2 linked regions of the Saccharomyces cerevisiae S288C genome follow. The gene in region 1 interacts genetically with each later gene. Each region holds a gene or a part of one and is shown in the gene's direction. Other genes may lie near its edges.

Region 1 (5,630 bases):
GTGGTTGTAACCTTTTTAATTTTTTTCTTGAACTTGTTGAGTCGTAATAAATCGTTTCTGGGAAGTGGAAGGTAATAATGTAATGGAATCGGCGTTACTCGCATGTGCAGATATCAGCGACAAAAAGTGTTGTAGGGACGTTTCGATACCAAAATTTCCTAAATACAGCGCAGGAACATCACTACGCTAAACAAATCGTAGCGCATACATCTGATCGAAAAAAGACAGTTCCCAAAACAATGACATATGAAGAGACCAGCATCAAAATTTTCATCATTAACAGCATGGCTAAAAGTTATTGTTTAATATACCCATACCTGATTGACGAACCAAGAAATGCCTTATCACTATTTATTTTTGGCACTCTTCACCTACCTGGCCACGTCCAATGTTGTTTCAGGAAGTACACAAGCATGCCTGCCAGTGGGCCCGAGGAAAAATGGGATGAATGTCAACTTTTATAAATACTCATTACTGGATTCAACAACGTATTCCTACCCGCAATATATGACTTCTGGATATGCCTCGAATTGGAATTAGGTTCCGTTGGCGGACAGACGGATTTCTCAATTGACTACGATCTTTCTTGTGTTATCTCTTCAGGAACTTTTAAATGTGCTCAATCAGATGCTTATGGAAACTGGGGATGCAGAGGTCATAGTGAATGTTCAAAATAGCCAAGAAAGACCTATTGGAGTACTGATTTACTTGGTTTCTTACTATCCCAAAAAACGCTACTCTAGAAATGACAGGTTACTTTTTACCACCACAAACAAGTTCTTACACGTTCAGGTTTGCTAAGGTCGATGACTCTGCAATTCTATCAGTCGGTGGTAACGTTGCGTTCGAATGTTGTGCACAAGAACAACCTCCAATTACATCGACGGATTTTACAATCAATGGTATTAAGCCATGGCAAGGAAGTTTGCCTGATAACATCGGAGGGACTGTCTACATGTATGCAGGCTACTATTATCCGCTGAAGGTTGTTTACTCCAATGCCGTTTCCTGGGGCACGCTTCCAATTAGCGTGGAATTGCCTGATGGTACTACTGTTAGTGATGACTTTGAAGGGTACGTTTACTCTTTTGACGATGATTTAAGTCAGTCAAATTGTACTATCCCTGATCCTTCAAAACATACTACTAGCATCGTCACAACTACTACCGAACTGTGGACTGGTACTTTTACTTCTACATCTACTGAAATGACCACCGTCACCGGTACTAATGGTCAACCAACTGACGAAACCGTTATTGTTGCCAAAGCTCCAACCACTGCCACCTCATCCAGTTTGTCATCATCTTCTTCAGAACAAATCACCAGCTCTATCACGTCTTAGCATCCAATTATTACTCCATTCTATCGCAGCAATGGAACTTCTGTAGTTTCTTCCTCAGTCATGTCTTCCTCGGTCATTTCTTCTTCTGCAACGACCTCCACTTCTATATTCTCTGAATCATCTAAATCATCCGTCATTCAAACCAGTAGTTCCACCTCTGGTTCTTCTGAGAGCGAAACAATCTTAGTGATTGCTGGCATGTCATTAGCGACAAGACGCTTATTACCGTAGTAGCCCCCCAAGGCAAACATCTCTTTATCAGTAATATCCAAAGCTGTTCAACTTCTCGAATTGGCCCAGGAAAAGAGCATTGGGGCGGCAACTAACTCTGGCATACTTACAGTTTCTGCTCTTGACAGCGCTAAAAAAGGGCTTGTTTTGTAATGCCCGGTTCGCAATTCTACAAGTACCACGCACTAGCTGCTAAAAGTGTCTAACCTTGCGAACAAATCTGGACTTTCTTATGAGAATCCCATCGTCAAGAAACAAAATTATACAGACAGGCGTAAATGTAGCTCGTAAGCGCCTGATCAAGTAAGCCAAATGCGCTAACTTGAGGAAATATAGCCATCTAAATCTCTGCAACATGCCAATTCGCACGTGACTTGAAACTATGGAAAGTGTCTAGAAGATTACCAAGAACCACGTTATTTGAGAGAGGATGGCAAGGTGACGACAATCACACCAAGACCACATTTTGGGTGCGCCTGGAAGCAAGACCTGAGAAACTGGGCCAAAATATTCAAACCAAGCATAAGATAGTTGGAGGTAGGAATACACTATCTAATCTGTGCTGATGAAATGCTGGCGAAAACGGGCGATGTAGTGGTACAGAAGGTGCCGGTTATCCGTTTGTCCGTTTTTCTTCATTTTTTTTTTGTTTTTCCCTTTTGTCTTTTGCACCGCTTATATATGGGTATGAAACAAGTTCAAGAATTTATAATGGAACCCAAAGGTTCAGTCTTTGTAGTTCGAGCGACATTGCGCGTTTCCTTAGAAAACGCTGGAAAGATATTCTTTAACGAGACGGAGTAATTCTCGTCAGGAATAGGATGTTGATTGATTTTTGCTGTAGTTATATAGCAGGGACCCACGGAAGAGAGCGAGCGCCTTCTTTCACAGGGACTTTTGTCAGCCACGTCTCCGGGGAAAACAATTGCCGTCCGCGTCGCAGTGAGATTACGCAGCCGTGCGCTTCAGGGACAGAAAAGAAGCATTTCGCGGCTACGGAGAAACCGTGCACTAACTCTCTCGAGGGTAGCCGCAAAGATTTCTTGTCTCTTCCATTAGGACATAGCTATCTTTTTCTTTTCTGTTTTTGGCGTATGATCTGTTCTGAGCCAAAGTTATAGATCATTGCTTGAATAAGCACCTCACAGAGTAGGGATTGTATAGAAAGTAGCTGAGCGTCTGCCCACGTAACAAACAATCTTGCCCCTTCCCCGCTCTTGTTTTCGCGTGCCTCTTCTACAATAATCTGGCCAGGCTGAATCGCGTTCTGCTGCTGCTGCTGCTATTGTTATTGTTGTTGTTGTTGTTTTGGCCAATTGCTTATGTGTTGGTCTGCAAATTAGCACCTCGTTCCCTGTTGGCAAACGCGCGCGTACAAGCCTTACAGGGCTTGAGAATGTTCTTCGTAGAAATGCATGCACAAAAATTCTGATCTAGCACACCATCGGTCTCTGTAGCTTCGGGCTCTATAGCTATGGGTTAGGAGTCCGTGAGTAGTAACAAGAAGAAGTATATAAAAAGCAGGTAAATCGTACTTCAATATGCTTCATTGTCACTGGATCGTCATATTCACTCTTGTTCTCATAATAGCAGTCCAAGTTTTCATCTTTGCAAGCTTTACTATTTCTTTCTTTTTATTGGTAAACTCTCGCCCATTACAAAAAAAAAAGAGATGTTCAATCGTTTTAACAAATTCCAAGCTGCTGTCGCTTTGGCCCTACTCTCTCGCGGCGCTCTCGGTGACTCTTACACCAATAGCACCTCCTCCGCAGACTTGAGTTCTATCACTTCCGTCTCGTCAGCTAGTGCAAGTGCCACCGCTTCCGACTCACTTTCTTCCAGTGACGGTACCGTTTATTTGCCATCCACAACAATTAGCGGTGATCTCACAGTTACTGGTAAAGTAATTGCAACCGAGGCCGTGGAAGTCGCTGCCGGTGGTAAGTTGACTTTACTTGACGGTGAAAAATACGTCTTCTCATCTGATCTAAAAGTTCACGGTGATTTGGTTGTCGAAAAGTCTGAAGCAAGCTACGAAGGTACCGCGTTCGACGTTTCTGGTGAGACTTTTGAAGTTTCCGGTAACTTCAGTGCTGAAGAAACTGGCGCTGTCTCCGCATCTATCTATTCATTCACACCTAGCTCGTTCAAGAGCAGCGGTGACATTTCTTTGAGTTTGTCAAAGGCCAAGAAGGGTGAAGTCACCTTTTCTCCATACTCTAACGCTGGTACCTTTTCTTTGTCAAATGCTATTCTCAACGGTGGTTCTGTTTCCGGTTTGTAACGTAGAGACGACGATGAAGGCTCTGTAAATAACGGTGAAATCAACCTAGACAATGGAAGTACCTATGTTATCGTTGAACCAGTTTCTGGAAACGGTACAATCAACATCGTCTCTGGTAACCTATACTTGCACTACCCTGACACCTTTACTGGCCAAACTGTTGTATTCAAGGGTGAAGGTGTTCTTGCCGTTGACCCAACCGAAACCAACGCCACTCCTATTCCTGTTGTTGGCTACACCGGTAAGAACCAAATTGCCATTACCGCCGACATCACTGCTCTTTCTTACGACGGTACTACTGGTGTCTTAACTGCAACCCAAGGTAACAGACAATTCTCTTTTGAAATTGGTACTGGATTCTCTAGTTCTGGCTTCAGTGTCTCCGAAGGAATCTTCGCAGGCGCCTACTCATATTACCTAAACTATGACGGTGTCATCGCTACAAGCGCCGCATCCACATCCGCATCCACTACCTCTGGTGTTGTCTCTACTGCCACTGGTTCAGTCACTTTATCCTCTAACGCTTCTACCACCGTCTCTTCTACGATCTCTTCTAGCGCCCCAGACTCAATAATTCCTTCATCTAGCGCCTCTATCTCTGGTGTCTCAAACTCCACTACAGCATCTGGTTCAATCGCTTCTACTGCTTCCACCGCTTCCACTACTTCTACTGCATCCGCTGCATCCGCCACCAGCTTCACCTCAGGTTCCGCTTCTGTCTACACTACTACATTAACTTACTTGAATGCCACAAGTACAGTCGTGGTTTCCTGTTCAGAAACAACCGACGCTAGCGGTAACATTTACACCATTACCACAACTGTCCCATGCTCATCTACCACTGCCACCATCACATCTTGTGACGAAAACGGATGCCATGTTCCAGCACCAACTGCTACCGACGCAACTGCAACCGTTTCCTCCAAGTCATACACCACTGTTACTGTTACTCACTGTGACAACAATGGCTGTAACACCAAGACTGTCACTTCTGAATGTTCTAAAGAAACTGCAGCAACCACCATTTCTCCAAAATCATACACTACTGTTACCGTTACTCACTGTGACGACAACGGCTGTAACACCAAGACTGTCACTTCCGAGGCTTCCAAACAAACATCATTGGCCACTAGCACAGTCACCAAGTCTGCTGCTCCAACTTCTCATACTGCTGCTTCCAGCACCTTCACTGGTATTGTCGTTCAATCCGAAGGTATGGCTGCTGGTTTGAGAACCAATGCTTTAAGTACTTTGGCAGGTATTTTCATCCTTGCTTTTTTTTAAAATGAGTGCGTAACCGTACTTTCCTAAAAATAACTAAGTAGAAAGTATTTTAATATATAAACGTCAGTGTAAACATTCAAGTGATTTTAACTTTACGCGGTTGAAGAATGCTGTGTTCGAACTATAAAGCGTCAGAAAAGATGGTTTAGCGAAGGCACCATTATGAAGATAGACACATTCTTCTTTTTTTTTTTTTTTTTTTTTTTTTTTTTTTTTTTTCATTTACTTTTATTTCGCGCGGTCGGTAAATTTTTCGTGGGTTTCTTTGAATCTATTAGCCGACATAAGAATAATGCATAAATAATATTTTTAATGTCTTCCTATGCCCAAAAGAAGAAGTCTTGAAGTTGCCGCACATGGAAATCACATGACCATGGCTTGGCCCTTCGTTTTAAATGCAACATGCAATATGGAATGTGTCATGAATACTATCAGCAGGAACAGAAAGCGTCGTTTTGTTTCTGCAAATGCTGTAGTTTTGGGCCGAAA
Region 2 (4,398 bases), on another chromosome or scaffold:
TCAATTTTTATAAACTTATGTCAATATTACAGAAAAATTACCACTAAAATCACCTAAACATAAAAATATTTTACCTTTCAACTTTACGAAATAAACACTTTGACTTGAAGTATGAGCACTACCATGACGTCATTAATGTAAAAGTTCCTTAATATCGTCGTACCACTATGCTCTATTTAATATATTGTAATATAACTGCACTCTATAGTCATACAGATATTTTCACTTCGCCCTATCTTCCCATACTATTGTCATGGAATCTCACACTGACGCATGATTAAACGAACAATTTATACTATAAGGTCTGTCATTTGCGCTCTATCCTTTTGTTTGCAATATTTATATACAGAATCTCAAAACAAGCGGGAGAAGTGGTAATTACCCAGAGGTCATGCATGATCTGAGTACCACCATACCTCTAAGTTTTTGCTTTGATCCGTTTTACAGTGACAACAAACATAAGGAGAAGGCATTAAAATGGTATCGAAAGGTTATCAATATAGGGAAATAAATTGGTTCTATGAATCTTCATGTAAGATACTCGTAGGCCAGACTCTTTCCCGTGTAAATATTTGTGACAGCTACGTCTATTTTCTACTATATGTTTACACAGTTTTCTCACAGGCAATCTACGCTTAAATATGTGTTTCATTTCAGGCGGCAACTGCTGTGCGAGCAGTGACATTGCCGGTCGCACCTTAAAACGTAAGCCAAAGTTATGACACGCTCTCAAAGTACCCGCATTAAAGTTTTATAAAAGTATTATTACGACTATCGAGTAACTTAGATAGAAAACCGGAAATGAAATGGATGCCCTTTTCGAATAGCTGAGTTTCTTTGTCTAAAATAGCCCAACATTGTTGCCCTTTTTCTATCATGAGATTGCACGAACGCGCGCGCTTCGGCGGCTTTTTTTTCTGCTACATAAAAGCGAAAAGGAAGAAGTTATTACTTTGAATAAAAAAACCTCGAACTGCCATCTCACTACCAAATGAAAGAGAATGAAGTCAAAGATGAGAAAAGCGTAGATGTGTTATCCTTCAAACAGCTCGAATCCCAAAAGACTGTTTTACCCCAGGATGTTTTCCGAAACGAATTGACCTGGTTTTGTTATGAAATTTACAAGTCTTTAGCGTTTCGCATCTGGATGCTATTATGGCTACCACTTAGCATCTGATGGAAACTTTCCAACAATTGGGTTTACCAATTTATAGTTTCACTTCTTGTCCTGGTTTTGGGACCAATATTTCTCCTTGTTATTCGTGAACCTTCTCGTAAGCGCTCCTTATCGAAACAACTCACTCAGTTTTGCAAAGATATTACTAAAAACGCACCAAGTTTGGATACTCATAATTGGGAAATCGTTGCAGCAAATCTAAATTCGTACTTATATGAAAATAAGGCTTGGAATACTAGGTACTTTTTCTTCAATGCCATGGGCTGCCAAGAAGCGTTCAGAACAACCCTTCTCGAACCCTTCTCTTTGAAAAAAGACGAAGCTGCCAAGGTTAAGTCATTTAAGGATTCCGTCTCTTACATTGAAGAAGCATTGGGAGTTTATTTTACAGAAGTTGAAAAACAATGGAAGTTGTTTAATACTGAAAAATCATGGAGCCCTGTTGGCCTAGAAGATGCTAAACTTCCCAAAGAAGCTTACCGATTTAAGCTTACCTGGATTCTTAAAAGGATTTTCAAGCTGCGGTGTTTACAAGTCTTCCTTTATTATTTTTTAATTGTCTACACGTCTGGAAATGTTGACCTTATATCACGTTTCTTGTTTCCGGTAGTAATGTTTTTTATCATGACGAGAGATTTCCAAAATATGGGAATGATTGTTTTATCCGTTAAAATGGAACACAAGATGCAGTTCTTGTCAACTATTATAAATGAGCAAGAAAGCGGTGCGAATGGATGGGACGAAATTGCAAAGAAAATGAATAGGTATTTGTTTGAGAAAAAAGTCTGGAATAATGAAGAGTTTTTCTACGATGGACTTGACTGTGAATGGTTTTTTAGCTGCTTTTTCTATCGCCTTTTATCTTTAAAAAAAACTATGTGGTTTGCTTCGTTGAACGTTGAGCTATGGCCATACGTTAAAGAAGCACAATCCGTGGTAACAAGTCTTTAGTGAAAAAGTGAACATGTTTTTTTCAACCTAAAAGGTGGGTTAAGATTTTCATCGAGCAATTTTATGCACACAGCACGACATGGTTCAGAGTATAATATATTGGAAGAAAATGCACACGAGCATAATTCTCAAATTATATATAATTACTGAGTATTAATTACAACCGGACACGCTCCATAATTATTCTTTTAAGATTATTGTTTATTAAGGAGCACTTCTAGAAAATAAATGTTTGGAGCCATTAAAATGTAAACTAGCAGATAATTATAATTTATATTCCTTAAAGGCACAAATCTCCGTAATATGTGTATGTATTTATTACTTTTGAGTTTGCCTATTTAGCACAGAGCGGATCGAAAGTATTGGAATAGTAACACCGATATTATTTCTTGGAGGCTTCTCATGAGCCAGCATCATTTTAAAGTCAAGCAGTTGAAATGGAGTACATTTCCTCATATTTTCTATATATACACGAGTTCTTATTTAACTTGAATTGAGTGATTTGTTTTCATCATCTCTTGGCAATTTGTTTTTGAAATATTTTTTGAAAAGAAAGATGCAAATTTCGCGAATCACATTTTCTGTTGCATCGATAAGGTTATTGCTGATCATAAACACATTTATGTGAGATTTGTTTCAATAGCGCACGCACTTATACGCCACTCGCTGAATTTGTCTCCTTCTCAAAATTGGGATTATCATAAGGCATAAGTGTATATTAGAAAATTATGCAAACTCTGTACCTATATTTGCAGAGTCTATAAGAAGCTGTTTACTGGGCTTACAATAAAGCAGATCTCTTGTACTGTAATACGTCTTGGATCATCGCCAGTGTGAAAGTCAAAAAGTTCGTAGTTCTTTGTGCACGTGATATTTGCTCTGTTTATTGGTTCATAATGGAAGGTTGTTTTTTTTTTGAGCCATTCTTCAAAGGTTGATAGGAGGTTGATAAGAGGTTGATAAACAATCAACAATGATATAAAAATAGCATGGGAGGACGCCTTGCAAGAATTTTCCCGCCTCTGAACCTGGAAATAATGCCCTTCAGTAGAAACAATTATGGCGAATTTAAATATATTTGGGCAAGAAGTTGGTGCTGACGTCGAAGGTTGGACAACAAGGGCCTTCCCAGAGAAAGTTGTATTGAAAGGTAACACTTGCAGACTAGAACCTCTAGATAGAGAAAGACATGGTTCGGAACTTTTTAGTGCCTATAGTGAGGCAGGCCAAAAATTATGGACGTATTTACCTGCGGGACCATTCACTAACTTGGAGGAATATCTAGAATTCATTAAGGAACTCAATGAAACTAAAGATACTGTGCCTTTCGCAATTATTAATAAAGAGACTGAACGTGCCGTTGGTACATTGTGCTTAATAAGAATCGATGAAGCCAACGGTTCACTAGAAGTTGGATATGTTGTTTTTTCACCAGAATTACAGAAGACGATTATTGCAACTGAAGCTCAATTTCTGTTAATGAAGTATGTATTTGATGATCTTCAATACAGGAGATATGAGTGGAAGTGTGATAGTTTAAATGGGCCGTCAAGGAGGGCAGCGATGCGCTTAGGCTTTAAGTATGAAGGCACGTTTCGACAAGTGGTGGTATATAAGGGTCGCACTCGCGACACTCAATGGTTTTCAATAATCGATAAAGAATGGTTACGCATTCGTAAAACCTTTGAAGAATGGTTAGACAAAACAAATTTTGAAAATGGCAAACAAAAGAGAGGAATAGCAGCAATAAGAGAAAGCTTGTCAAACTGAAAACTCGCCCTCTCTTTCATGCAGGACATATGTATATATAGCATTTTTTGGTTACCATACTGTAGACTAGGATTTTTTTGCAGTCATGTGAATTTTCCGACTTCACCTTCAACAAAGAAAAATCGCATTTACAATGACTAAGACTTCACGCATTTGCGCTGATCTCCTTTAAGCTTGAATGACATTGAAATGTTACGTCGATACCGATAATATTTTGGGCTCTCGGTTTTGATTTAAACCAGGAAGCGTAGCTCTCACCTTACTAAGGCTCACATCATGTCATTTATAGTGTCATTTTGGCCCTAACTATATTCCACCTTTCTTCCATATAATAGTTTCAACCTTAACCTCAAAATGTATCATTTAATTTTTCTCATACTCTATCATATTTGTTATATAAACGTACAAAGATTGTAATGTTAACTATGCTAAAGTACAATTATTCACAGCATACTACACCGCGCTACGGTTCGTTACCAACCCTCACTAAACCCATAACG

Evidence for each region. Genes that interact genetically often act in the same process or in processes that back each other up.
Region 2: mutations in YAR066W (region 1) and YIR042C together harm fitness more than expected from each alone (negative genetic interaction), as found in Saccharomyces cerevisiae (one large-scale study listed by BioGRID).

What each region holds. Positions count from the first base shown.
Region 1 is NC_001133.9:217,804-223,433, forward strand, and holds YAR066W (uncharacterized protein), read left to right. Parts: upstream 1-3,245; coding exon 3,246-3,857; downstream 3,858-5,630. Other genes in the region: YAR064W (uncharacterized protein), read left to right, coding at 2,395-2,694; YAR068W (uncharacterized protein), read left to right, coding at 4,603-5,088.
Region 2 is NC_001141.2:434,773-439,170, reverse strand, and holds YIR042C (uncharacterized protein), read left to right. Parts: upstream 1-3,187; coding exon 3,188-3,898; downstream 3,899-4,398.